Linked DNA regions of Ovis aries. The protein of the gene in region 4 interacts with the protein of the main gene of each other region in a pairwise test. Links are inferred from orthologs where the notes say so. Each region holds a gene or a part of one and is shown on either strand. Other genes may lie near its edges.

Region 1 (3,451 bases), on a different chromosome or scaffold from region 4:
ACTTAACCCTGTAAGAATAGGATCTTGCAGGACTTGTGACGAGCAGGAAGACTAGGAGATTAATACTGCAAAACAAAAGTTTTGACAAACATTTTTAATATAACTCTGCGGTCTTGTTTGTATTAAACATACTTATCAAGATATTAACACCCACTTATTGTGGCTTAGTCCTAGTACATATAATGAAACACACACAAACAGGAGTCTCAAAGCTTGTTTTCAGTATGTATAATCCCGACTCTGAAGTTGTATCATAACTCAAGAAAGAACTTTCTTTCAAAACAGTTTCCAGCATTGCTATTATTTTCTGTGGAATATGGCAAAATTTCTCCTACAGTAATGTTTATTTAACTGAATTACAAAAGGTTTTTCCCTCTTCCTAGTGTTAGCCTCTCAATCAGGATAATATCAAAGGCCCTGATCGTACATTTGCTTTACAAAGATTCAAGGTGTCTGTCTCCTATTTTTCCCAGTTCAGGTCTTTAAATGTAACTAAATATTTAGAGGCAATTGTGGTAAAAATTAGATTGTGTTAATTTTTAATAACCAAAAGTGTATTTCATCTAAGTTCTTAAAAAATAAATTATGTATCATTTTTAACCACTGCCCCAAAGGAAGGGCCAAAAGTCAGCAGTTTTATCAACAGGGAAGCTTAACATCTTGGTCATCTATATAGTTTGAATTTATAAAATATTATTCATTCTAAATATATTTTATATTACTTAATTTGTGATTTTTAAAACAAACATTCTAAAGAGATAGATCAGCTTTGTATGTTTTTCCAGGATGTATTTAATTTCGAGTGTCTACTATGCAATCTGTTTACTATAAATTTAGGTTATTATGAATATACCTAGGAATAAAACAATTAAAATGCTGAAATTTCCTTGCATGTTAATGAGACTATATTTTTTCACAACTAGATTATATGTATTATATAATTTCATGCTGCTGTACAAAATACTTTATAATTATGAGAGCCTAATAGAGACCTCTTATTAGAGTGAAATATATTCAAACACCAGTATATAAGTCTTTATCATGTAAATTAGTTGTATGTTGATAGTAAATTTTAATATCAAATTCTGGCTTTTAAAATATTGCCAGTTTACAAATAACTATTCCTAAATGCCTGATAATAACTGCTAAAGGAAATAAGATGAGGTCACCAGTTGATTAACAAATAGGCTGAAACCACAGACAAAGCTTTCTATGTCCCAAAATATACATTAAATATCTTACTTTCTCTTCTTTTGCTGAATTGAAATTAGGAAGCTACCTAAAACTTTTTAGGAGACAGTAAAATAGTAGAATGACTGTTCCATTCCTTTTAAGAACAGTTGCCATACAGTCTTTTCCTATCTAATACAGGCACATCATTAATATGTTATGTTTTAGATAAATCAGTATCATTGGCAATGTAAAAAACACTTGCTTTTTTTAAAAAAACACTTTAATATTCAATAACATTTTAAATTTTCAAGTGGAGGATTCTAAGCACTAAATACACCTAGTAACCCACATGAAATAATTGCAAAGAAAAAAAATTTTTAATTACTTGGAAACTTGGGGCTTATCTGTTTGGAGAGAACGTGTGAAAATTAATAATTTAAGAAAATACCAGGTTTGGATTTTTAAGAGATCATTTTTACACTGGTAAAATCAGCCTAGATGGAGTCTGGTGTGTGGAAGCATTTCTTTGAGGATTTAAAGAAGCTCATTCTCCTTCTTTTTAGCTATTAAGAAAAATTTTACCCACATTTAATTTTACAGAATCAATACCCCAGGCACAGTTTATGAACATGACGAACCAAACAGAAGACTTACTTAAATCTCAAGTTCCATTTTTTATTTTAATAAATTCATGAAATTACACAACTCTTTATGGGAGACAGAGAGCTGAGTTGTCAGCGAATTTTGTACAAATAGTACTCATTCTATTTTTATTAATCAATATATCCTACTTGATGGCTCGTTTAAGATATTCCATCATAGAAGCTCAATTTTTAGAAGTTTTCTTCTACTTTTACCTAATAGTACTCATCTGCTGCAACTGAGCCCTTCAAACTCCATCACATGGGTCCTCCCAAAGCACTCCTTCACCAAAAAAGTTACATAAATAGAAAGATGGATATTCTAAAATAGTCTTGTAGTAGGAGCGCTTGAAGGATTCTACCGTTTTTTCTTCTTTTCTAGGTTATGAAACTTGGAAATCCGGAGATTGCCAGGAGACTACTACTTAGAGGTGCTAATCCCGATTTGAAAGACCGAACTGGTTTCGCTGTCATTCACGATGCGGCCAGAGCAGGTTTCCTGGACACTTTACAGACTTTGCTGGAGTTTCAAGCTGATGTTAACATCGAGGATAATGAAGGGAACCTGCCCTTGCACTTGGCTGCCAAAGAAGGCCACCTCCCCGTGGTGGAGTTCCTTGTGAAGCATACGGCCTGCAAAGTGGGGCATCGGAACCATCAGGGGGACACCGCCTGCGACTTGGCCAGGCTCTACCGGAGAAACGAGGTCGTTAGCCTCATGGAGGGCAACCGGGCGGAGGGAGCTGCGAATCTGCAATGAATGTGGGGAGGGCTCTCCCACGCTGCCTTCTGTTTTGTCAGTTAATTGATTGGCTGTCCTATTTTAATATCATTTGTTAAAATTCAGTTTTGTCATATTTTAAGCAGTTAGTTAAAGCCTCTGAAACTGCCAAGTGGAAATCTTACTACAGCTTTATGAATATATTTAAGCAACATCTCTTTCACCTGCAAAACCCTGAATTCTAACATGTAATTGCAAAAGCTTTGGCTTTCTTCTGAATATTTTATCTTTCCCTGACTTTTCTCCTTGCCTCTCCCTTTGCCAGTCTCAGTACCCAACTTGGAGACTTTGTTTTTAAAATGGTTTGTCCTGATGCTTCTTTTGCCTGATTAAAACACATTTTCAAAACAGGACAATGTTTTCTGTGATTTCCACTCCTCTTATAATCCACACGTGATATGCTTCTTGCTAAGGAGAAGTAAACTGAAAGATCATGGTGTTTTAAGTCTTGACATTAGAACTAGACATATTCTATTGATGATCCAGTTAAATGCTTTTCTTTCTCTCCTCATGCCTCCCAGCAAAGATTTTACTTGATGCCTAATATGTCTGCTTTAAAATAGAGTAAGAACACATTTTTTTGGAAATCAAACCTGAAATTACCTCTGTGTAGACTTATCCTAATATTTGATCTTCCTTTTTTCTCAAAGTTAAGTCGTTGAAAAACAGGTTTCAGAAGTAACAATCTGGAATCAAATATATGTTAGCCCTAAAAGCCACTTCAAAAAGAAATTGCCATTAAAAAGTGCTTCCCATTTGTTGATTTTTTTAAATCACAAAATGAAACAATTGGTTAAATAGTATATTTCCCAAAAGTATACCATAAGTATGCTAAGTGTAACAATGGCTTTTTCTC
Region 2 (4,030 bases), on a different chromosome or scaffold from region 4:
AAAATAAAAGCAAGGTAAGAGCAAGAGTGGGTGGTCAGGGCAGGCCTCTTGGAGGAGGTAACATTTGGATTGAGGCCCAGAGGAGGAGGAGCTGGGGAAGCAGGTGTTCCAGGCAGAGAGAGCAGCAAGTGCACTGGCGCTTGGTCAGGAAAGAGCTTGTTGGGTTCTAGAACAGTCAGATCAGTGGAGCTGGAGAAAAGTGAGTGGGGACAAGTGGTAGGGGATGAGGGTAGGTAAGTCAGTGCCTTCTTAGGCCACAAGGAAGAGCCCGAGTATTACTCTTACTGGGAAGCCACAATAAGAGGGTTTTTCTACAAAAAATTATTTATTATTTTTGGCTGTGCTGGGATATTTCTACCTCATTGCTACCCGGCCTCAGGGTACTCTTCATTGTGGTGTGCAGGCTTCTCATTTTGGTGGCTTCTCTTCTTGCAACGCATGGGCTCTAGGGCACGTGGGTTTCAGTAGTTGCGGCTCTCAGGCTCTAGAGCACAGGCTCAATAATTGTGGTACATGGGCTTAGTTGCTCGGAGGCATGTGGCATCTTTCCGACCCAGGTGTCAAACCCGTGTCTCCTGCATTGGCAGATGAATTCTTTACCACTGAGCCACCAGGGAAACACACAGTATATAGCGCAGACTCCATAAATTGTAGAGTGAGTGATTACAGGGATCTCACCGGACTAAACCCTATGCATGGTTAGGAGGACCCATGAGATTATAGACCCCACCCTCCAGCATCTCACAGGCTCGCTAGAGGGAAAGAGATGTCAGCCATGGATCCCACAGGAGATCCCTTACCCAGAGGAAAGTCAAGGAAGATTTCTCAGAGGATATGGCAGCTCAGCTGCCAGAGAAGACCAGGGGTTATGCCGCATATGGAGGCTCCAGAGACTCGCAAGACACGAACAGCGATCACGGTTCCATTTGACGAGAGACTCTCCGAGGCAGAAACTGTCTGATAACTCCAGGTGATTCGAATTCCGTCTAACGGCAACGTCTGAGAAACCATTCTCTCTTTGAGAGGGTATACACGAACCGGCAAGCTCCACGCAACGCGGTGGGTTTCCAGCAGGCGGCAGTAAAAGTAAAAATCATTCATCGGCGGCCGGGAACGCACGGAATAGAAATAATGGGTCCTCGCGGCTTCCGTATTACGGACTGTACAAGACAAGATGGCCGCGCCCTGGATTCCGGGCGCGGCGAGTCACGTGATTACACAACTTCCGGCACTCCCCAAGTGTTCCCCAGGCCTTGAGTCTCCTGCAGAAGTGCGTGCCGGGGCCTAGCGCAGTTCGAGGCCGCCAGAGGGCTGGCCTGGGGCGGCTCTGACTTGAGAGTGCAGCTGCAGGACCATGGAGGGTCCCCCTGAGAGGGAGGCGCCCGCGGCCGCGCTGGCCGCCGTGCTGAAGCACAGTTCGGCACTGCCTTTCGAGAGCGCGCAGGTCCGGGGCTACGACTTCAACCGCGGCGTGGACTACCGCGCACTGCTAGAGGCTTTCAGCACCACTGGTTTCCAAGCCACCAACTTCGGGCGCGCGGTACAGCAAGTAAACGCCATGGTGAGGCCTGGGTGAGACTTCCGGGGCTGAGGGGGAGTGGCCTCCAGTAGCACCCTGCGGTAGCTGGGGGCGGGACTTCTCTGGGAGGTGTGTTCTTCGTCCAATAGTGGGAGAGAGTATGGGGCCCGGGAGTTTCTGTTCTGGGGAGTGGTTGGGACTGATTCTGGGGCGGGGCGGGGAGCGGGCGTTATAGATAATAGGTGAAAGTATTGTGGAAGGGGCGGAGCCTGGGCTAGAAAGTCCATTTGAGCGAAGAATTGGAGGAGGACCCTTACACCCGCCCGGACCTGAGCCTGAGTTTGCATTTCCCCGTGGGGAGAGGGGTCGGGCCTGAAAAAGTGATGCTCTCGGATTCCTGAAAAGGGGCAAAGCCTAAGCATGTGACCTGAGACTTGGGCTGTGAACAGGGCAGAGCCTACACAAGGGTGTTCCTTCCCCTGTTCCAGGTAGAAGTGGTTCTCTGTCCTTGAATGGGCAGATCCTGGGCGGGGAGTCTGACACCAAAACCCACCGCGGGTCCTTGGGGTGGAATTTGGGGCCAGAGGTTAACTCAGCTCTGCCCATACCTAGATAGAGAAGAAACTCGAGCCTCTATCCGAGGATGAAGACCAACATGCAGACCTGACCCAGAGCCGACGCCCACTCACCGGCTGCACCATTTTTCTGGGCTACACATCCAACCTCATCAGTTCAGGCATCCGTGAGACTATCCGTTACCTCGTGCAGCACAACATGGTGGGACCTGGTGGGGGTGTGGCCTTGGGCTCCCCGCGTCTTAATGGGCAATAAGGTTACTGGTCATTTAAGTGAGATAGGGAGATATGGGTTAGTTTTGTTTTGCAGCAGAGGTCCCCACAGGGGTCACTGGATGAGAGTTGGGAGTTAGGAGTTCTGCTTGGAATAACTTCACTGCCTTGTGGCTGCAGGTGGACGTCTTGGTGACCACAGCTGGGGGTGTGGAGGAGGATTTCATCAAGTGCTTGGCGCCCACATACCTGGGCGAGTTCAGCCTCAGGGGGAAGGAGCTACGTGAGAACGGCATCAACCGGTGGGTAGGTGGGGGCTGAATGGTGCTGAGTAAGGGAGGCAGGCTGAGGGTCCTGGGCCCTGATGCCCATACATCTTCTGTCCCCAGGATTGGAAACCTGCTGGTGCCCAATGACAATTACTGCAAGTTTGAGGATTGGTTGATGCCCATTCTGGACCAGATGGTGCTGGAGCAGAACACAGAGGTGAGGCTGGAGCAACCTGGGGCTGGGGGAGGGTGCGTTTGCTGATGGCATGGTGGGTGTCAGGGGAGGCGCCGCTGCCTGAAGCCAATGTCTCCTCCTAGGGTGTGAAGTGGACACCTTCCAAGATGATCGCCCGGCTTGGCAAGGAGATAAACAACCCGGAGTCTGTGTATTACTGGGCCCAGAAGGTGAGGGACTGGCGGGGGCAAAGATGCCAGGTTTTTGGCATGTGTTGTTTCACTTTCACAGCCACCTGGGTAGTTGGTACTAGTCTCCTCATCCCTGCTCCTACATAAGGAGCCTCAGAAAGAGAAGTTAGGCAGTTTGTCTGAGGTCCTACAGCTATTGACTGTGGATCTGGTATTCTGGCTCTACTCCTAGACTGCTGGGAAGCAGTTGGAAAATACTTAGCAGCTCCTATGGGGACTCTTGGAAGGCTCCATGCTCCTCAGAGGCTCTGGGGTCTAGCAATCAGAAAAACAAGAACTATCATTCTTCATGTGCCAGGCCCAAGTGAAGTTAAGCACCCTGCCCAGAATCAGGCAAAGAAGAGGAAATGCCTGCAGGCTGCCCCTACAGGGGTTAGATCCGGCCCGCCTCCTGTCTTGCTCTTTTCTAGAACCACATTCCTGTGTTGAGCCCGGCACTCACAGATGGCTCGCTGGGTGACATGATCTTCTTCCACTCCTATAAGAACCCAGGCCTGGTCCTGGACATTGTTGAGGGTAAGATGTTGGGGCCCCGGAGGAGCAAGGGAGGAGGGCTGCCTGGGCCTGCAGTGGCCTGACTCAGCCCTCTCTCCCAGACCTCAGGCTCATCAACACACAGGCCATCTTCGCCAAGCGCACGGGGATGATCATCCTGGGTGGTGGCATGGTCAAGCACCACATCGCCAACGCCAACCTCATGGTGAGCAGGGATGCAGGCTGTGCGGCCCCTAGTGAGGGGTGGCACTTGTGCCTGCTGTGCAGACAGGCCTGTGTACTAGGCCCATGCCGTGTGCTGGGAAACAGTTGTGGACTAGACAGGCCAAGATCCCTGCCCTCCTGGAACTGATGTTCTAGTGGGGGAGATGAACAGCAAACCAGTGACAAGGTGACACGTACATCAGGTGGCAGTACTGGCTACAAAGAAAAATCAGGGATGACGACAAGAGGGCAGGAGAAAGGCATGCTATTCAGAAAAGGGAATGCTTCCTGGGAAGTGTGACCTGTGAGCAGAGGTTTTTCAGAGGCTG
Region 3 (4,195 bases), on a different chromosome or scaffold from region 4:
TCTCGGGAGCTGGAGACACGGCCACGAACAAGCCAGGCCAAGGTGCTTGGGGTCCTTCTCGCACATCTCTCAGATGCCAGTCTGAGCCTTCGGCAGGCCCATGGGCAGAACTTTCAATATCTGTCTGGAATCTGACCACTGTTCACATGTCCACTGGCCCCTGCACCCCCCATGGAAGCAGAGTCAGACCCCGCCCATCCTCAGCTCAGCGGCCTCCCCGCGGCCCTCAGGGCCACCTGCCTCAGCCAGCTGCTCCCTCTTCCTGGCACCTCCCCTAGAGTCCCCCAGGGCTGGGTCCTCATTATTTGAGGTTAGCCCACGTGTCACCCCAGCATTTCAGGCCCTGGATCGGGCAGTCAGACAAAAGCCTGAGCACCCATGTCCTCTCACACCCCATGTCAGCACCCCATCCACGCTTCCTTCAGCAAGCACCGAGGAACTGGGCTTTCTCCCCATCTGCTCACACTGCCTGCCCCCAGGCAGCCTGAGGGAGCCCATGACATCTGATCCACCCACTGCTCAGAACCCTCCCAGGCACCCATCTCACCCAGAGTCAAGGCCAAGTTCTCATAATGCCTGCCACAGCCCCGCACCACCTGCCTCCATGCCTCTTGATGCCCTCTGTCCTGTGGCCTGGCTCTGTTTCTCCCAGGACACATCAGGCACCCCAGGGCCTTTGCACTTGCCGCCCCCTCCACAAGGAGCACTCTTGCCACCGTAGCTCCCTTCTTTGCCTCCTTCTTGGGTGGTCCTCCTGGACACCTGACTCTAAACAACAGCCCTTGGGACTTGCCTGGTGGTCCAGTGGTTAAGACTCTATGCTTCCACTGCAGAGGGCAGGGTTTGATCCCTGGTTGGGGAACTGAGATCCCACATGCCATGCAGTGTGGCCAAAAAAACAAACAAAAAGCACCGGCATCTTCCCAACACCCCAACCTTATTTCTCACAGGTCTTGTTCTTCAGGATGGTCTATGCTTTATTGTCCACTGACCCTCAGATGGCTGAGCCCCCAGCACTTACAATAATGTGTGGCACATGGTAAGCTCTCAAGAAGCACTTGTGGCATGAATCCTAGTTCTTCTATCTCCAAGGTGCAAGACTGCAGGCATGTTGGTCAGTCTCCTATCCTAGCCTCAGTCTCCTCCTCTGTAAAATGGGCAGAGCAGCCCCTCCACCAACACCGCCCGCAATGCTGAGGATAAAGTAAGTGACTCCAGTGCGAGGGGCAAGCCGGAAACCCAAGGACTGAATGCACACAGCTGCTCTTTCCTCCCCAGACCTGGAACTTGCTGGGGACTCACCAGCCTAGCTCTGCCAGGGGATGGCTGGCACACACCTGTGCTAAGAGCCACAGGGCTGCTCCACCTCTCAGCCTCAGTGTCCACCTCTCTCACTGGGCACAGTGAGCTGGCTTCCAGGGCCTGGCTGAAACCATGGCAGGCCATTCCCTTCCTCAGCTGAGGCAGGGTTGGGGCCTGGGCACAGAGGAGCCCTCGGCCCACCCCTGTACACACCCAGACCATTTCAAGCCTGGATACACAGCCCAGTCTTGTAGACTGGTGAGAACTTGGCCAAGGATCCTGGTCCACTTTAGAGTCAGCCATCTGAGCAGGAGGCGACAGACAGGACAAGTTTACAAAGGCAGCTGGGCTCATCCAGTCCTGACCCCAGCCAACTCAAGAGGATGTCCCTAATGGCTGTACTCATTAGGGAAAAAAAGAAGGAACACCCCCAAAAGTCCCCTTTTTCTTCTTTCTCTGAGTGTTGAGGGTCTCCTGAACACCCACAAGGAAATCAGAGGCCTCTCAGGAGCCTTGAAAAGCCAGGGGGCCTCTTGGAATGAGAGTAGCAGGGGAGCCCTGAGAGTCACGGCCAGGTGCGCCAGGGTGGGCACTATATCGGAGAAGAGGAAGGAAAACGTGTTTGAGTTCTGGCCTGCGGGGGCCTCAGCTTACTCCTCTGAACACAGGGTGGTGACGGCCACGTCACGAGTAGGTTGTAACAGACGTGTGTTGGGGCCGGGTTCGAAGCCGAGCACAGCCAAATGGGGTCTGAGAAGGTGAAGTCCCAGCTCCGACAGAACCTCCAAGCGCAGGTGGGAGGAGTCCGCCCAGACAAGACCCTATTCGAGTTCTGCCCCTCCCCCCATTGCCTGACCTCAGGAAGCCTCGCCCTTCCCTCCTCAGACAAGGGCACAGTGGCCCATACGGGCCCATCCAGCTTGGGCACTACCACAGAAGGCCCAGCTGGGAGGGAGGAAAAAGTTATTAACAGAGAGGGGTGGGATGCCAGGAATTCAACCCTCCATTTCTCAATCAGGCGGAGGGGGCGTGGACTAGGAAGCGGTGAAGGGCTTGACTTCGCTTCTGGTTTAAGAAGTAATGCCCAATTACTTCCCTGGTGGTCCAGTGAGAGCCCAATGCAAGGCGCCCGGTTGGTCAAGGAACTAGATCCTACAGGCCCCAACTAAAAAATCAAAATTGCCGCGACTAAGAGTTCGCATGCCACAACTAAGACCCTGCCAGCAAAAAAAAAAAAAAAAAAAAAAATCAGTAAAGTCCTCCAGCACTGACTACCTGCCGCAGGCGCTGTTCTGAACCTCACTCTTACTGGGGCATCCAATTCTTCCCACCAGCCAGGAGTTAATCCCACTGTAGAGGCGAGAAACGGGCGCACAGAGATGAGGCAAGTTGGCCAAGCCCCAAAGCCGCCGGGGTCTGAAGGAGACAACGTCCCTCCCCGTACCCGCCCCGCCCCGCCCCTGACGGGCCGAAGCCCCTCCATCCGTCAGCCCCCGGTCGGTCTAGCAGGGTCTTCCAGCCCCCTCCGAGCAAAGAAGCGAAGATTCGCAGAGGCAGCCAGAAGCCACTCAACACCGGGAATGGGGAAATGGCGGGACACCCTCTCCCCGGGACCTCGGCAGGATCCCGGAAAACAGCCGGGCCAAGCAGGTGCGGGTTCCCCCGGGCCGAGGCGGGACCGGAGCCGCCCGGCGCCTGCCTCCGCCGCTCCCGGGCTCGCGCCGCCCTGGGCGCCCGCCCCCACCTGGCCCGCGAGTGCGCCCCCGGCCCTGCGGCGCGCAGACAAAAGGCGGGGGCGGGCGGGCCCGGCGTTACCGTTGAGCCGGACGGTGAACTGGCGACGCCGACGGTCGTGCTCCACGCGGATGGGGCAGCCTTGCTCCGGCGCGCCCGGCGACGCTGCTGCCGGCGACTGCGCCATGGGCGCTCGGACCCGGGCCAGGGGCGCGCGGCGGGCTCGGGGGGCAGCGCGCGGAGCCGCACTGGGGGCGACCGCAGGCGGCGGCGCGGAAATTGACACTCGGCGGCGGCCGCAGCAACAAAAAGGGGGGAGCAGGAAATCAGCTGTGCGGTCACGTGCGGCGCGCGACCAGTGGGCGCGCAGCCGCTCTGTTTTGATACATTCCGTTCGCCTCTTAAAGGCGCAGCGCCGCGCACAGCTCTGTGCTGGGGCCTTTGGGCCTCTGGCCCCGACCTGCAGGAGACTCTGGGGGACCCCCCAAGGACCCCGTCTCAAACACACGTTTCGACCTATAGGGCAGTTCTAACCGTCCCCTCGCAGCCACCATTTACTCAGTGGTTGCTGTGTGCCTGCGCGCAGCAAAGCCCCGGAAGCTGCAGAAAGCGCTCATGAAGCCGAGAAGTAGGTGCGCTTGACACAGGCGCCTGGGGAAGACCTGCGAGGGTCACACACCGCTGGAACGATTGTCCCGAGAAGCCTGGCTTGCGATCTGGTGAAAGGCCACCTCTAACCCCAGAAACAAATGTGGGAAGCTCCTTGGAGATCCCTGGACCCACTCACTGGGTGGTGGGGGTGGGGGGATTGAGTCCCAAGAGGGCCAGGGACTTGCTTGAGGACACACAGGACTCTGGGTGGGTGAGTGGGGAACAGACTACATTTTTGAAAGAGGACTGGACAACACCTCCCCCCCACCCCCTCCCCAACTGCTGGGATCCAAAGCCGCCCACCGAGTCACGTGACTGCAGGTTTTATTAGTTTGCTGGTGAAGGCGTGAGCGTGATGTCATTCCCACGTGACCACCGCCCGATTTAAGATGCCCATCGTTTGTGTTTCCCCCTCCAGCCATTGCCCTACCCTGTGACTAATTTGCTTTTCCTAAAACTTCATGTGAACAATATCATATAGTATGCCCTTTAAGGATTCAGTGTTCTT
Region 4 (3,500 bases):
AACAAGTGTTTTAAAGCCCTAGAAAAGTTAATTTTCAAACATCATTGAATACAAGAATTTCCCAGACAGACTCTCAGGCAAATCCCATTCTAATTACACAGATCTAGGATAAAGCAAAAAAATCTGCATTTGTCTTTGTTTATTTTTAATTGAAGGATAATTCTGCTATAATCTTGCATTGGTTTCTGCCATACAACAACGTGATGCATTTTTCAAAAGCACCCATTATGCTTATGATTCAGAGGGTCCCTGAATCACCCTTTAAAAAGCAATACCCTTAGGAATTCCTTGGCCATCCAGTGGTTAGGACTAGGTGCTTTTATTGCCAGGGCCTGGGTTCACTCCTTGGTCAGTGAACTAAGATCCTAAAAGCCACGGGGCACGGCCAAAAAAAAATTTAAAAAGGAACATTTGAGAGCCTCTCCAAAAAAACTAGCATCAAGAAAGTTTTGTATTTAATCATAAACTCTAAATATAATCACAGAATTTGAGAACTAAAAGATACCTTACAAGATAATGTGGAAGCATAATTTTAACACTGGAACCATCTGCAGAGATTTGAAAAGAAGAAGCAAAAACAATGCCTGGTCCCCAGTCTAATTGTTAAGTCCCAGATACTCCTGTAATATGGAGAAACTGGAACCAAACTAAATGTGTATCAGTTCTTTAAAAGGTCCACCAGTTAGGAAGCAAAATGCTTCAAGAAATTATAGTACATTCATAATAAGAAATCTACATGGAAAGATTACTATGACAAGTAAACAGCATACCATTTAATTAAAAAAAAAAAATGACTAAAACAAAACTATACATTCCTTCATGTCCCTATACATGTTTGGAAAGATACTTCTCTGAAAACAAAAGAAAAGACAACTCGAGTTGAAGATCTTGGGACTGAGTAGAAGGGACAAGGAGGACTGTGGTATTGTTTGAAGTTTCCATGCTCTATTTGTATAATTTTAATTTCAGTATTTACACAGTGTTTCAGAATGGTAAAAGATATCTATGACCGAAATCTATGCAAAATCTTATAAATAATTTTCCTTAAGGATCTTGAAATCCCTCAATACTATTAAAGGATATTTACTATGGCTTTAGTATAATGTATCTACACGTAAAAACCACTCACCAAAGAGTCATTCTTAGTGTAGCTTATATGGATTTCCATTTTAGCTTTGCACAGTGGCAGTTGAGATTTACCCAAGGCATGATTACTGCTAACAGATTTCCATTTTATTAAAAGGTCACTATATTTATCTTTGATTTTTTTATAATTATTAAGTCCTAGCTCTGCATAATGTGTCTTTTACAATGCTTTAGTAGGCAACCCACTCCAGTGTTCTTGCCTGGAGAATCCCAGGGACAGGGGAGCCTGGTGGGCTGCCATCTATGGGGTCACACAGAGTCGGACACAACTGCAGTGACTTAGCAGCAGCAGGGTAAATTAGTCCCAACATTTTTTGGTATCTCAGACCTAATTAAATAAATGATTGGCATATCTGAGAGGCATTTTAACGTATTTTTTCCCTTTCAAGTGTTTGGGAATCATCATTTGCTGGGAACTGATAAAAGTAAACCTATATTATCAGTATATCACTAGGGTTTATCCACATACCCTAAAGTAAAAATACCTTTCAACACTGTCAGGAGGATTAGAAACACTGTAAGATGTGTGGTTTAGTCCTTCCTGCATAGAAAATAGTCAACAAGCGTTATCATTTTTATTGTATTGAAAAGATCCCATAGTTTTCCTCCTCAGGGACCCATATGCAAATGAGAAGAATGCTGTTTTGTAAACCTACCAGAGGAAAATGATGCCACTTGAGGAAAATGATTTGTTGTAAACTTAAATAGCAGGGTTATAGAATTTGTAAGAAAGATTCTTAATATATACACAAAAAGAGGAAAATATATTGTACCTAGCAGAAAAAGAAGTCACAGATACACCTGCAATTTCTTTCAGTGCGGAAACGACTTTGTCCAGGTCTTGGGTATGGGTAACACTGAATTCTACTCTGTGAGTTCCCTCTGTGGGGTAGTCAGGAGCTTTGGAAGGATGGATGGGCCTGGAGGTGCAAACACCTAGAAAAAAAATTGTCAGGAGTTAAAAGAGATTTTGTGGGTTTTTTTTTTTAAATTAAAAACTACTACTGTAAGAAATGAGTATTCTTTAAAGGATTCATTCTTAGATGCTTCTATAATAAACACACACAACATGGTCCTTACATATACACCCAATAGTCCCCATAACCTAAGGATTTTGTATTGTCATACAGAATCATATTTCTTTTCAGAACTATTTTCCAGAAGACTCTTAAATATCACAGAAAGTTGGACAAGATTGACTCATGAATTTCTGATGACATATAGAATTGAGACTGCTTACTAAATTTACTTGTGTAAACTATGATTCAGGTCACAAAGCTCATAATCCACTTGACCACACTAATCCAGATTATATCATCACAGAAGCTTCAGCCCAGCACAAGGAAACTAAAAAGGCTTACCAAAAATAAAGCTAAAAGCACATACAGTGAATTCTCTCATTGTGCTGGGCATAAGGACTAATCCAGTGAAACTATCTGCCTGATATATGAAGTATATTCTGGAGAGGCCTGAGCTTTCGATTCAATTCAACAGGCTTTTCTGGAGTGCCTGAGTGCTAGGCACTGTGCCACTTGAGTAAGGAATCTCAAAGCTCAGCCAAAAATGAAGATTTCCCATGTGGTCTTTATTCAATAAGAATAAAATTTCATTTTCAAATATAATTTAATTGTCAGGTTTCAGCAAGGTTATTTTAAAAATACATAAAAACAGAATAATGGTTCCCATCCCTAAAGAGGTCAAAACACTATTGAAAAGACATTCTATAAAATTTCAAAGCACTGACAGGGAAAAAACTAGATAGGAAAGAACAAGAGGCTTCTCACCAAGCCCTTTAGCCAGCCAGCTGTTGACTCCCTGAGGAGCAGCGTCATAGGCGGTGTGAGGAGAGTAGATCCCAACTCTGTGCTCCAGTGCCCGGATTACCAGGCGCTCCTTCCATGTCTTCCAGGTGATGCGCTTCATGGGTCGGAAAATAGGCGGATGGTAGGAGAGGATGAGATCCGCCTTCTTCTGCAGCGCCTCCTCCATCACTTCCTCTGTCAAGTCATTGGTCAGGAAGAGCGTGTTTACCGTGTGTGGTGGGCTCGGTTCCACCAGTAATCCAACATTGTCCCAGCTCTCAGCAAATGAGAGGGATGCAAAGTCGTTCAAGGAGCAAAGGAGAGCCTTCAGATCCATGAAGGAACGGGAAGAGCTGTAGATCCGGGAATGGACCAGGCGGGCTGTCGTGGCGATCAGGAGTACACGAGATGACAACATGCAGAAGTCAGGCAGAACTGAGTATCTGAAGTCAAACACAGACTATGGAGGACGTGTACACTTCACAGACTCAAACCTTCTTAGACAGCAAAGTATATGAGCAAAAGAGCTGTAGTGTTACACTAAAAAAGACC
Region 5 (3,500 bases), on a different chromosome or scaffold from region 4:
TGGAGCATTTCTTAGAAGTCTGGAAGTCTAGGTCCTTATTACAGTCGCTGTGATTTCTAGTCTCCAAAATTAGGAGAGAAAAAGCTTTTTTTGTCATAGGAGAGCCTCACGTGCTGCAGTCCATGGAGTCCCAAAGGGTCAGATACAACTTAGTGACTGAACAACAGCAACAGAAAATAATAAATCATTTCATTAAGCCTTCCACTTCATCAGGGAAAACTGCTCCTTAAGCTGGAAAGTGGCCCAGTCATATGTAACTAACTTCCCCCCTTTCCACTGTAAAGGTATTCAGACAGGTCAGAAATCGTCCTTGGTGCCGTTTAGTTAATTCTAGTAAAATGTTAATATTCAGTGATGTGGTTTGATACTTAAAAAACTTAAACATATCAGTCACCCAAGATCACGTGCAAGTAAAATGAGCAAAAGGTTTTCTGAGAAGCAACATCTAATTTTATGCACTGGATTTAGTCTTATCCTAAGGGAAAAAGTGAAAGCATTTTGGTCAGGCCAGTAAGCATTTAACTCACCTTGTTCCACAAGGATAATCTGTGTTCTTATTAACCCAGCAGAGGCTAACATCTCCTAAATAAGGAGCTCAGAAAGAAAGGTTACTTCGTTCTGTACAGATTTCTTTCCTCAGAGGAAGAATTTGTTAGCACTTAAGAAAATATGCGTATGAAATGGTAATGATTTATTTTGTTACTTAAGCTCCTTACTCCCAAAATGGCAAACTACAAATTGCAACCATTTAAATCCTTGACTGAAGCCTTTTGAGAATCTATTAAGTAAATGCCACTGTGTCTCCCTGTTTCCTTTTAAGAACTTTTGCAGATTAGGGCAGTAAACGACCCCAGAGCTGTCAGGGATCCCAAAGGATGAACTGAATAAATTAGTCTCCTTTAATTTTCTTAAGCTGAAGAATCTGTGTTGAGTGAGTAGATTGACTTTAAGGTTTATTACCTATAAAATGTAGATTTACCTTCTACTTAGAAAGTTTCACTTTTACTTCAGGGAGAAGGCAAGGAATAAGATCAAGCGATAAGATCTGGTTCGAAAGAACACAGCTCTGTCCAGACTTGCAGAAGAAGAAAACCTCAGACCCTGTGTTCTTTAAACTTGAAACATTTTCGCTTTTAATTTTGGAAAGTGAGGCTTGGTGAGGCTGGAGTCCTAGATCACTGATGACCGCTTCAGTTGTCTAACTTTCCAAATGGAGACCTAGCCTCAGCTGAAAATTCAGATCTAACAGAGAAAAGTTCCAGTCCGGCTTATATATTGGGGATCACTGGAGGAGCTTTTAAAAAATCCCGATACCCAGGCATCTCCCTGGGAAATTCCAGTCCCAATTAGTCTGGATTGAGGCTGAGGCACTGGCTTTCTTTTTTTTTTTTTTTTTAAAGGTGAATCCAATGAGACTAATGTGTAGCTGAGGTTGAGAACCAGTGAGCTAGACTGCTTACTGCATGGGTGATTAAAAAAACTTTTCAGTGCTCATTTGCAGTGCAAGTAGTGTTTCTAATACTTATTTATAAATTTCTGTCCAGCTGAGAGATGCTAATATCAAGTTCAGAGTACAAATATTCCCCATTTACAACCTGATAAGAAATGATCCATATGTGCATGTCAAGATCTTTAGGTTTTCATCTGGCTTACTTTCAGAGCTGTATTTCTGTGAAAAAGCAGCTGTGGTCATAGTTTTAAAAACCATATTAACACATGAAGATTTAGGTAATAATGCCATATTTCCCTACTAAACTTTAAATCAGAGTATTTTTAAATGGTTAACAAACACTACATCCTGAAGGGTACCTCTGAGAACTGTAATTACCATCCTTGATTCCCTTAAGTATATATTCAACATCAGCACTCAGCTCTCAATGAGCGCTTCTCGTCTTTGGAACTCAGACCATTCCTGGACCTTACTGATTTGTTCTTGTACTGAACTATATTTTTCCTATTTTTCAGCTACATAAAACTGGATTATGGAGAAACAGCCTGGTCAGAACGCAGTAGCATAGTGTGTGGAGATGGCTGATGTGTGCACAGTATTGGTTTGTGAGGCAGGAGTAACTGGACCTGAAATTGACCAGCAGACCTAGCCCACATGCTTACTGGTCATTCTCAAGCGATGCTTTTGATCAGACTTGCCCAAATGAGCATCGTTACCCGACTTTTGTTAATTTCGGCACCTGTAGGTTGCTGTCTACCAATCAGTTTAATCTCAAGTGGAGTGTTCCCGAGATTGGCTTTCCAAAAAACATAGATGTCTACACCTCAATTTAAGTTCTGGGGTTCTTGGTTATACAAAAATGTCATGTGATGCGTAAAATCATGCTTCACTGTTTTCCTATAGCTCATCATCCTTTCCTCCTATTGATTACCCACCAGGTAATCAATTAGCCACCAGGATTTGGAGGAGAGTTTTCTCTTGGGTTTTTCCTGCCTGTAGACCTTTTGAGGCAGCATTTGGTCATGCTCAGGTTCAGTGTGAGGTTGATCTTGATGTGCCTCATCCTCCAGTGAACCCGTTTCAGCCTCAGTTGATGGAGCAAGAATATTCTCCTAGGTTAGACACACATGCCTGTACCATATTTTTGTTTGTTGTTCACAGTTGGAACCCAAAACAGACAACAACCCCCAATTTCCCTTATCTGCTCCCAGCGAACTGCCGTCTCTCGCAAGAGAAATAAAAAGAAAAAAGTGCCCCCAAAGACTATGGAACCTCTCACTGTGAAACAGAAGCCCAGTGCATTGGAAGCTGAGAAGAAGGCTGCAGGGGCCCCCGAGAATTCCAGTCTCCCCGTGGCCGAGCACCCCTCCCCTGGGGAGAGCCACATTCTAGGATTCGGCATCGTGCTCGAATCACCAGCCTCCGATGTAAGTTGATGTTTTCTAGCTGCTCATGCTAATATGTAACTTTCAGACACTGTGCCATATTTATACACTTTGCCCTTCACTAGTTCTGCCCAAGAAAACCAGAGAAACTTGCAGAATACACGTGGGAAAGAGGAAAGGAGAACTCTTAATGCTCTCCTTGCCCAGAATTTTCTCTTCTGAAAATCTTAGGCCTTATTTACCTCAGCATGTTTCCATTCTCTCCGAAAGGAGACGGGTGATGGAGTAAATATTCTGTTCACTAATTTCGTTAACATTTGTAATTTCGAAGCGGCCGTTTTCAATTTCCTCAGCATAGAGAGCTAAAAGAATGTAATTAAATCCTTTGTAGATGGACATAAATGAGCAGAACCCTACAGATAAGGTCACACCTTTCTAGAAACACAAACTAATAATAAAAAAAGAGCAGTACTCACACTAATTCTATTTTATAGATGCAAGGATGCAAGCCACACTGCTAATTAGGTTGCAGTGCCGTGCCATTGAGTCTGTGTAATGATAGGTTAACACTCTGCAAAGGTTTTTCTATTTTAATATCATAGCTCGAAGGTCGTCACAGCCCAAGATACTGGATGGCATCTAAGACAACCGTCTGACTTACCGTT
Region 6 (3,980 bases), on a different chromosome or scaffold from region 4:
CTAAGCACCATGTGTTGTAACTAAGACTTGATATAGCCAAAAATAAACAAATAACATTTTAAAAATTTTTTAGAAGGCTGAACTCTAGAAATAATTATAACAGCCATGATAATGTAGTGGCAATAGCATGGACTATTGTTTATCAAACAATTATGAAATATCAAGACTCTTTCAAGCACTTTACATGGATCATTCAACCCAATCTCAATCCCATGAGTGTGGTACTCCCAGGATCTTCACTGTCCAGATGAAGACACTGAGGTTCAGGGAGGTGATGAGCTCAACACAGCTTGAAGTTTGACCTCTGACCCCAGAATCCCAGCTCTTTTCGTTATGACATCTACATCTTTAAAAAATTCTCACCCCTTCAATAAAACTGGACAAAAAAATGATATATGAAAAAATAAAATCTCAACCTTTCCTCCCACTTCCCTTCACCCTAACCAAGGCAGGGGCATGCCTAGGTCCCTAATCCTAACCCATTCATCCTTGGGAGCCCAAAGGTGGGGGTGGAGCTTTGCTCCCCACCTTAGACACCCCTCCAGCAACTATGGTCCCATCACTAGCCTGTTAAAGAAGGAAGGAATAGACTCCCACTAATTCTTTACAGTCTCGCTATTCAAAATGTGGGCCATGGAGCATCACCAGAAGCATCAACATCACCTAGAAACTTGTTATAAACACGGATGAAGGGTCTCACCCTAGATCTGCTGAATCAGAACATCTGAGTGTTTTATTAAGTGTTTTTTTATACCTCCTAGAGACAGAATGACAGCTCTACACGGTCCCGGTTGTAGCCTGCACGGGGGAGTACACAGCGTCTTCTTGCCTTTAGAGCTTGCCTAACGCCCTGACTCCTGATAACCCACCTTCCCGGACTCCACAAATCCTAATTCGGAAACTACAACTCCCACAATGCCCAGAGGGGCGCTTGGTTCTTTTTACACGACTACAACTCCCAAAGTGCTTCGCGAGTCATGCCACCATCATGGTGCCCAGTCTCCCCGGCACCATCAGGACTACAACTCCCACAATGCTCGGCAGCAGAACTACCGTTCCCCAGCGGCTCCAGAACGACTACACGTCCGCTCCAGCTCTGCTGGGTGAGGCCGTTCTCGGGCGGGGCCCGCGGGGTCTGCAGAGCCCTGGGCTCCTTAGTTCTTCCCCAGACAACACAGACATGGCGGCCGAGAAGGACCAGCAGAAGGATGCCGAGGCGGAAGGACTGAGCGCCGCGTGAGCAACCGAGACCCGGGAGTCCTGGTCCCCCGACCCCTCCCCCCTGGGGGGTCCTAGGAATCCCGGCCTCTAGACATAAGAGTTTGGGCCTCTGTTGTCCTCTTCGAGGACTCTGGAGCCTGGACCCTCAGCCCCTTTCTCCCCTGAGATCCAGGAGCCTGGGACCATTATCCACCCCAGAACCCCGGAGTCCGGCCCCCCTCGGTCCTCTTCTTGCTGGAGGGTCCGGACTCCATCCCGGTCGGTCGATCGCTGACGTGACCCCTCACCCATCAGGACCCTGCTGCCGAAACTGATTCCATCTGGCGCGGGCCGCGAGTGGCTGGAGCGGCGCCGTGCGACCATCCGGTCCTGGGGCTCCTTCGTGGACCAGCGGCGCTTCTCGCGGCCCCGCAACCTGGGCGAGCTGTGCCAGCGCCTCGTACGCAACGTGGAGTACTACCAGAGCAACTATGTGTTCGTGTTTCTGGGCCTCATCCTGTACTGTGTGTGAGTGCCTCTTCGGCCCGTCGGCGCCCCGGTCCCCACCCCCTCCAGGCTGCGTGGCCCGCTCTGGCCGACCGCGCCCTCAGCATCCGGCCCCACCTCTCACTGCCCGGGCCCCATTCCCATGGGATGTTCTGCCGGAAGTTTTCACCGAAGGGCCAGGTCCCTAGTTCCCCCATCAACCTGGCCAGGATACAGTGTGACCAAATGTGACCTAGACTTCCCCGGCCCCAAGCGGATCGCCTGCCATCCGCCGATGGGAAGGTCAGGGCCTCCTTGTCGGGCCTAGCCCCGGCTCCCTGACACACGGCTCCCTGCCCCCTTCCAGGGCGACGTCTCCCATGCTGCTGGTGGCCCTGGCTGTCTTCTTTGGCGCCTGTTACATCCTCTATCTGCGCACGTTGCAGTCCAAGTTTGTGCTGTTCGGTGAGAAATCCCTTGCCCAGACTGTTCACATCCTGGTCTCTTGGAACGCAAACCTTTTGACACCAAACCCAAGTCCTTTCGAATCCATGTCTGCCCAAGCCTCTATCTACACTAGATTCCCCCAAACTCGGTCCCTTAAAGTCTCAGACACACCTGATGCTCCCACCCACTCTCAGCGCCCCCAAGTTGCTATCCCCCAAGTCTAGAAGATACTCCAGAACCCACCTCCGTCTGACTCCTTAAACCTCCTTCACTCTCCCTTCTGCCTAACCTCCTGCTAACGTCAGCTGCACGTACCCCCATCGGCCACCAGGTGGCGACTTCCCACTGGCCTATATCCGTGCTCCCCCTTTCCTGCTTCCTGGGGAGGAAGTGGAAATCTTGGGATTTCTGAGAGGGAGGCTGAGCCCTGTGGCTCAGGTGGTCCCAGATTGACACCGGAAACACCACTGAGAAGAAAGACAAGCCTGAGGACTTCCCTGGTGGTTCAGTGGTTAAGACCATGCTTCCAACGCAGGGGGCATGGGTTCCATCCCCCATCAGGGAACTAAGTCACACATTATGTGTGGTGCTGGCAGAAGATTTAAAAATAAAACAGAGGGCTCTGAGTTCCCAACTAGGGGATGCTCAAGGACTTTGGAGTGGGGCTAAGGGGGAATTGGGCTCAGATGAACAGGTAGACCTAAGACAGAATGCTTCAGAAGCCTGCCGGTCACGTAGGTAGGCTGGGTGGAGGGGCGCGCCGGGCTAGCCCAGGGCATGGAGGGAGCGCTTGGAGTATAGACACGACTTGGCTTCAGCCACAGCTGCCACCAGTACCTGCAGATCCAACCTTCCAATCCACCACGAGAAGCCAGACATCTGTACAGCTGCCCCTTGGTGTCCATAGGGGGTTGTTCCAGGAGCCCCATGGCTGGCAACGTCCACCAATGCTCAAGTCCCTTATGAAAAATGATGTAGTACAGCGATCCACGGGTTTCCATCTGTGGATGCAGAGGGCCGGCCTATTGTTATGTGAAATTACCCAGTTTTTCTGGCAGCCACAAACCAAATTCTGATGGAATAATGTGCAGACTCAAAAGACACATCCCCAGGTCAGATTTGGCTCTTGGGCTGCCAGTCGGAGGTTCCAGATCTGCACTAGTGCAGGTTGGAGCAGGAGAACTAGTCAGGAGAAGGAGGCTGGGAGCTTCCTAGCAGAAGTGGGGTTGAAGGGCAGAGGGCAGGGGGCTGAGGAAGGCACTCTGTTCCCACGGTCAGTGGGTAGGGCCAAGGGCTGGAGGGCCTTAGCACAAATTTAGATTAGACCCTGAGACTCCCAGAGCTTGCGAGGTTTGGGGGAGCATCAGGGGTTACTCTGGGAGGAGGCACGAGTCAGAACAGCTGCCCCAATGCCCTCTGCCCTGCAGGCCGGGAGGTGAGCCCCGCCCATCAGTATGCTCTGGCCGGGGGCGTCTCCTTTCCCTTCTTCTGGCTGGCTGGCGCGGGCTCCGCCGTCTTCTGGGTCCTGGGTGAGTACAGGGTCTGGGCAGCAGTGTGGGCAGTGGGGGCCTGGTGAGGCCACCAGGCCCTGAACTGCCCATTTTCCTGCAGGAGCCACTCTCGTAGTCATCGGCTCCCATGCCGCCTTCCACCAGATGGAGGCTGTGGACGGGGAGGAGCTGCAGATGGAACCCGTGTGAGGTGGCTTCGCGAGAGCCCCCAGCCTCTTGAGCTAGCCGCCTCTGTTCACCCCGGTCCCACTCGGCTCTGGCCAAAGGCCCCCTTCCCACGTCAAGACCAGGGAGGGACTCCAGCTTTGGAAATAAAACTGTTACAGTTGTTGAGCA
Region 7 (4,202 bases), on a different chromosome or scaffold from region 4:
CTCCATCCTGAATGGGCCTTGGGTGCCTCACTCACAGACTAGAGTGGTAAATGGTAAGAGAGTCACAAAGAAAGGAGAGAAATTAGGAACACTGACTGAGGTATTAGGTACAGATTATGAAGCCAGATATGAAAAACTTGAAGTGAAAAGAAAAGCCTTGAGCAGGGAGAACCACCACCACTCCCCCCACTCCCCGTGCCCCCACCATATTCGACCTCCTAACCTGAGTATCCTGATTAAGATAAGTATTCTGCATGTCACCTGTCACCACATCAGTCACCTCTGCTTAGCACCCCTCCCCTGCCTCACGGTCTTCCACGTCCTGACCCCTTTCCAGTGGCCTCTCTTCATCTCAGAACCTAAGGGCCACACCTAAGGGCCTTCTCTCTCACTGCAGCTTGTTTTTACCTCAGCGCCCACCTCAGTTCAGTTCAGTTCAGTCCAGTCGCTCAGTCATGTCTGACTCTTTGCAACCCCATGAATCGCAGCACCCCAGGCCTCCCTGTCCATCACCAACTCCCAGAGTTCACCCAAACCCATGTCCATCGAGTCGATGATGCCATCCAGCCATCTCATCCTCTGTCGTCCCCTTCTCCTCCTGCCCCCAATCCCTCCCAGCATCAAAGTCTTTTCCAATGAGTCAACTCTTCGCATGAGGTGGCCACAGTACTGGGGTTTCAGCTTTAGCATCAGTCCTTCCAATGAACACCCAGGACTGATCTCCTTTAGAATGGACTGGTTGGATCTCCTTGCAGTCCAAGGGACTCTCAAGAGTCTTCTCCAACACCACAGTTCAAAAGCATCAATTCTTCGGTGCTCAGCCTTCTTCACAGTTCAACTCTCACATCCATACATGACCACAGGAAAAACCATTGCCTCGACTAGACGGACCTATATGCTATCTAGGTTGGTCATAACTTTCCTTCCAAGGAGTAAGCGTCTTTTAATTTCATGGCTGCAATCACCATCTGCAGTGATTTTGGAGCCCCCCAAAATAAAATTTGACACTGTTTCCACTGTTTCCCCATCTATTTCCCATGAGTACCCCCTAATTTCGATGCATCGCCTCAGCCTCCCCCCGCCCCCCGCTTCAGAGTCTGTTCCTGACCTCAGCATCTCCCTCCGCTCTAGAGACGCCCAGCCTCGGCTCCAACCAAAGCGCCTCTCCTCTGTGCACTCTCTCCACCTCAGCGTCGCTCTCTCACCCCTGCGCGCCACCCACGCAGGTTCTTTCGCGGCTCCTGGAAGCTTGCCCGCAAGACGCTCCCGCGGCCCCGCACCTCCGTTCTCCTCGAGTCTAGGGCCCCGCCCCTCAATCTTCGCCCTGCCCTTGGTGGGGCCGCCCCGCCCCGTCCTGGCCCCGCCCACGCCAGGCGCGAGCTCAGACTAGCAGTTTGGCGCCAAACCTCTTGGTCTGGACGTGTTGGACGCCTGTCTCAGCGTTCTGGTTCCGAATCAGAATCCCTGAGGACTAGAAAGCCCCGGCCGGGGGCGGGATTCGAATACCTTGGGAACCTGGGGGAGACTGTGGGTACGAGTGGTGTTTATGGCAAAAGGGGAAGGCGGGTGAAGAATGTGAGGGGAAGTGGGGGCTTCCTTTCTTAGGTCGTGCTCGACGGTCGTTGCTGGGCCCTAGGCTGGTGGCTTTGTGCTCTTCGGCTCCCATCCCCACCCCGTCGAGTGCTCTTGAGGGATTTCCAGAATCCTTATTTTAAACCAAGTCGGACTAAGAGGCCTCCTCGGGCCCCTTATGAGGGAGTCCGGTGTCAGGAAAATGGCCGGTGGGTGGGGAGGCGGTGAGGGTGACCTGGACCGCGCTCGCCACGGTAAGGGACCGCTTCTGGCGCCCTAAGCCAGGGTGTTTGGGAGCCCTACTTTAGATTCACCTGTTCATTCCATCAACTGCTATTTGAGAAAGATGGAGAACAATCTTTTTATTAAGAAAGAAAGGACAGTCACTTACAGAATTTGGGTTATCATGTATATGATTAGCTATCTTGCGTGAGGGACCGCATTCCAGAAGATTCCGTTTACATTGTCTCCTCGAATACTTTATTGTACTAGGTGATAACGACCCTACTTCTGCCTCCGAAGTTTGTTCCCCACTGGGCTGGGCCCCAACTTAGTTTGGTGTTCAGTGAGGAGATGAAATAGAGCAAAACTGATTATTTGGACTACATTTTCTAACGAACACAGTCATGCCTTGTAGATTCCTGAGTTAAAGGCTTTATCTGCTTATTGGCCCTAATATTTTATCATTAAAATACTAGATTATTGTTGTTTAGTTGCTAAGTCATGTCGGACTCTTTTGTGTCCCTATAGACTATCCACCATAATTTTAAATCTTAAAATCTTGAAGCTAGTTAATATTATAAAATGAAATACATCTAATGTTTTATGAAACAAAAAAATATGTTACAAGAGAGCGCCTCATCTTTCCAAAGCAGAAGGGAGTCCTTGTACATGAGAAAAAATAATATCTTTTTATTGAGGATAGACAAGTTCTAGGTGCCAGGAGGATGCAAGGAAGACTTAAAGTCAAAGTTCTTAGACTGTTAACAAATATGAAAGTTTAGTATCATTATTTAATCCTAAGGTTCTACTTCTAAATAACCTTCCAAGACGACAAAAAGATATTGGTAGTCATGAGTAACTGTGCAATAGGAAATCAAAAGATGATACAGTGTGGCCATTTTTGAGGAAATAAATGAAACTAGTCCCCTCACCCACACATACCACACCAGAAAAAAGAAATAATGCCACAGGCTTAGGAGAAATAAGATAGGCCAGCCTAGTTATGGAGAAGGCAATGGTACCCCACTGTGGTACTCTAGCCTGGAAAATCCCATGGACAGAGGAGCCTGGTAGGCTGCAATCCATGGGGTCCCTATGAGTTGGACACGACTGAGCGACTTCACTTTCACTTTTCACTTTCATGCATTGGAGAAGGAAATGGCAACCCACTCCAGTGTTCTTGCCTGGAGAATCCCAGGGATGGGGAGCCTGGTGGGCTTCCGTCTCTGGGGTCGCACAGAGTCGGACATGACTGAAGCAACTTAGCAGCAGCAGCCTAGTTATTCCAAACTAAATTTTTTTTAAGGAATTTTTAAATTTAATTTTATTTATGTATGGCTGCTCTGGGTCTTCCTATTTGCTGTCCTCCTCCAGTTGTGGCCAGCAGGGGCTACTCTAGTTGCTGTGGGCAAGCTTCTCATTTCAGTGGTTTCTTTTGTGTGAAGGCGGGCCCTGGGCACACGAGCTTTAGTATTGTGATGCTTGGGCTCAGTAGTTGTGGCTCATGGGGTCTAATATTTGTCTAATTATCTTTCTGGTCCTTGATGACTGAAATGAAATAAAAAATTGTATGGGCAAAGGATTTTGTACTATATGATCTGTGACAACTTATTAATATTTCTTGTTTTTCCAGAATTGATTATTTTTCTGCTGTTCACCCTTCAATATGAAGGAGGATCAAGTTGTGCTGGAAGAACCAGGATTCCAAGATGAAGATGTATGCCTAGAATGTTGAAAGATACATAGATATTCAGTCATTCTACAAAATTGGAGTTCCTTCTCTGTTAACTACTACTTTTAGGAACTTAACTACTATTTTTATTTATTAGAAATAAAACATAGTTCTGGAGAGAGGCACTATTAGAAATATGTAACAACTTGTTTGGCAAGGGGAGCTAAGATTAGCTACTTAGCAGCTGGCATGAAAGTATTTTAATTTAACAATTGGCATGGCCATATTGGTACCAAATAGCAGAGGAAGGAGTTCAAGGTCTGGTGGAGAAGACTGAGAAAACATATTTAAAAATAGCTTGTGTTGTTCCACTCTTTCGGATTAAGGTCTTAAAAAGTTTGGAGAGACTGTTGGAATCCCCCGGTGGGTCAGTGGTTAGGACCGTGTGCTTCCACTGCAGGGGGCTGAGTGCCATATTGGGCTTCCTAGTGCTTTCAATGTTGGCACTGCTTTTAAGTATGCAACAATATGTTTGAAAAAGTATTATTGATCCTACCTCAATTTGTCCAGAGAAGCAGAATTTGAGGCATTTTGAAGTGACTCATAATGCTGAATTAAGCCTTTAAAATATGTGAAACAGTTGGATATGAAGAATGAACACTCTTTTTTTCCTGTTCCATCTCCTTTAGGAATCTTTGTTTCAAGACATTGACCTGTTACAAAAACATGGAATTGT

Evidence for each region.
Region 1: the proteins of NIF3L1 (region 4) and CDKN2C interact in binary tests that used the Homo sapiens proteins (3 or more experiments, as listed by UniProt). The two-hybrid records come from large-scale screens. The link is inferred for Ovis aries from reciprocal best matches to the Homo sapiens genes NIF3L1 and CDKN2C.
Region 2: the proteins of NIF3L1 (region 4) and DHPS interact in binary tests that used the Homo sapiens proteins (3 or more experiments, as listed by UniProt). The two-hybrid records come from large-scale screens. The link is inferred for Ovis aries from reciprocal best matches to the Homo sapiens genes NIF3L1 and DHPS.
Region 3: the proteins of NIF3L1 (region 4) and NATD1 interact in binary tests that used the Homo sapiens proteins (3 or more experiments, as listed by UniProt). The two-hybrid records come from large-scale screens. The link is inferred for Ovis aries from reciprocal best matches to the Homo sapiens genes NIF3L1 and NATD1.
Region 5: the proteins of NIF3L1 (region 4) and BEND7 interact in binary tests that used the Homo sapiens proteins (3 or more experiments, as listed by UniProt). The two-hybrid records come from large-scale screens. The link is inferred for Ovis aries from reciprocal best matches to the Homo sapiens genes NIF3L1 and BEND7.
Region 6: the proteins of NIF3L1 (region 4) and RABAC1 interact in binary tests that used the Homo sapiens proteins (3 or more experiments, as listed by UniProt). The two-hybrid records come from large-scale screens. The link is inferred for Ovis aries from reciprocal best matches to the Homo sapiens genes NIF3L1 and RABAC1.
Region 7: the proteins of NIF3L1 (region 4) and DMC1 interact in binary tests that used the Homo sapiens proteins (3 or more experiments, as listed by UniProt). The two-hybrid records come from large-scale screens. The link is inferred for Ovis aries from reciprocal best matches to the Homo sapiens genes NIF3L1 and DMC1.

Annotation. Positions count from the first base shown.
Region 1 is NC_056054.1:25,433,819-25,437,269, forward strand, and holds the end of CDKN2C (cyclin-dependent kinase 4 inhibitor C), read left to right. Parts: intron 1-2,196; coding exon 2,197-2,574; 3' UTR 2,575-2,951; downstream 2,952-3,451. UniProt on the Homo sapiens protein: Interacts strongly with CDK6, weakly with CDK4. Inhibits cell growth and proliferation with a correlated dependence on endogenous retinoblastoma protein RB.
Region 2 is NC_056058.1:11,115,727-11,119,756, forward strand, and holds the start of DHPS (deoxyhypusine synthase), read left to right. Parts: upstream 1-1,230; 5' UTR 1,231-1,354; coding exon 1,355-1,561; intron 1,562-1,803; exon of another isoform or gene 1,804-2,007; intron 2,008-2,131; coding exon 2,132-2,296; intron 2,297-2,487; coding exon 2,488-2,609; intron 2,610-2,696; coding exon 2,697-2,793; intron 2,794-2,894; coding exon 2,895-2,981; intron 2,982-3,412; coding exon 3,413-3,518; intron 3,519-3,598; coding exon 3,599-3,702; intron 3,703-4,030. UniProt on the Homo sapiens protein: Catalyzes the NAD-dependent oxidative cleavage of spermidine and the subsequent transfer of the butylamine moiety of spermidine to the epsilon-amino group of a critical lysine residue of the eIF-5A precursor protein to form the intermediate deoxyhypusine residue.
Region 3 is NC_056064.1:34,974,254-34,978,448, forward strand, and holds the start of NATD1 (protein NATD1), read right to left. Parts: upstream 2,801-4,195; 5' UTR 2,786-2,800; coding exon 2,578-2,785; intron 1-2,577.
Region 4 is NC_056055.1:203,282,316-203,285,815, reverse strand, and holds part of NIF3L1 (NIF3-like protein 1), read right to left. Parts: intron 3,392-3,500; 5' UTR 3,367-3,391; coding exon 2,931-3,366; intron 2,083-2,930; coding exon 1,920-2,082; intron 1-1,919. UniProt on the Homo sapiens protein: May function as a transcriptional corepressor through its interaction with COPS2, negatively regulating the expression of genes involved in neuronal differentiation.
Region 5 is NC_056066.1:27,526,944-27,530,443, reverse strand, and holds part of BEND7 (BEN domain-containing protein 7), read left to right. Parts: intron 1-2,611; coding exon 2,612-2,877; intron 2,878-3,500.
Region 6 is NC_056067.1:50,855,831-50,859,810, forward strand, and holds RABAC1 (prenylated Rab acceptor protein 1), read left to right. Parts: upstream 1-1,180; coding exon 1,181-1,236; intron 1,237-1,515; coding exon 1,516-1,728; intron 1,729-2,053; coding exon 2,054-2,151; intron 2,152-3,560; coding exon 3,561-3,662; intron 3,663-3,744; coding exon 3,745-3,833; downstream 3,834-3,980. UniProt on the Homo sapiens protein: General Rab protein regulator required for vesicle formation from the Golgi complex. May control vesicle docking and fusion by mediating the action of Rab GTPases to the SNARE complexes.
Region 7 is NC_056056.1:216,055,378-216,059,579, reverse strand, and holds the start of DMC1 (meiotic recombination protein DMC1/LIM15 homolog), read left to right. Parts: upstream 1-1,402; 5' UTR 1,403-1,531; intron 1,532-3,427; 5' UTR 3,428-3,460; coding exon 3,461-3,511; intron 3,512-4,155; coding exon 4,156-4,200; intron 4,201-4,202. UniProt on the Homo sapiens protein: Participates in meiotic recombination, specifically in homologous strand assimilation, which is required for the resolution of meiotic double-strand breaks.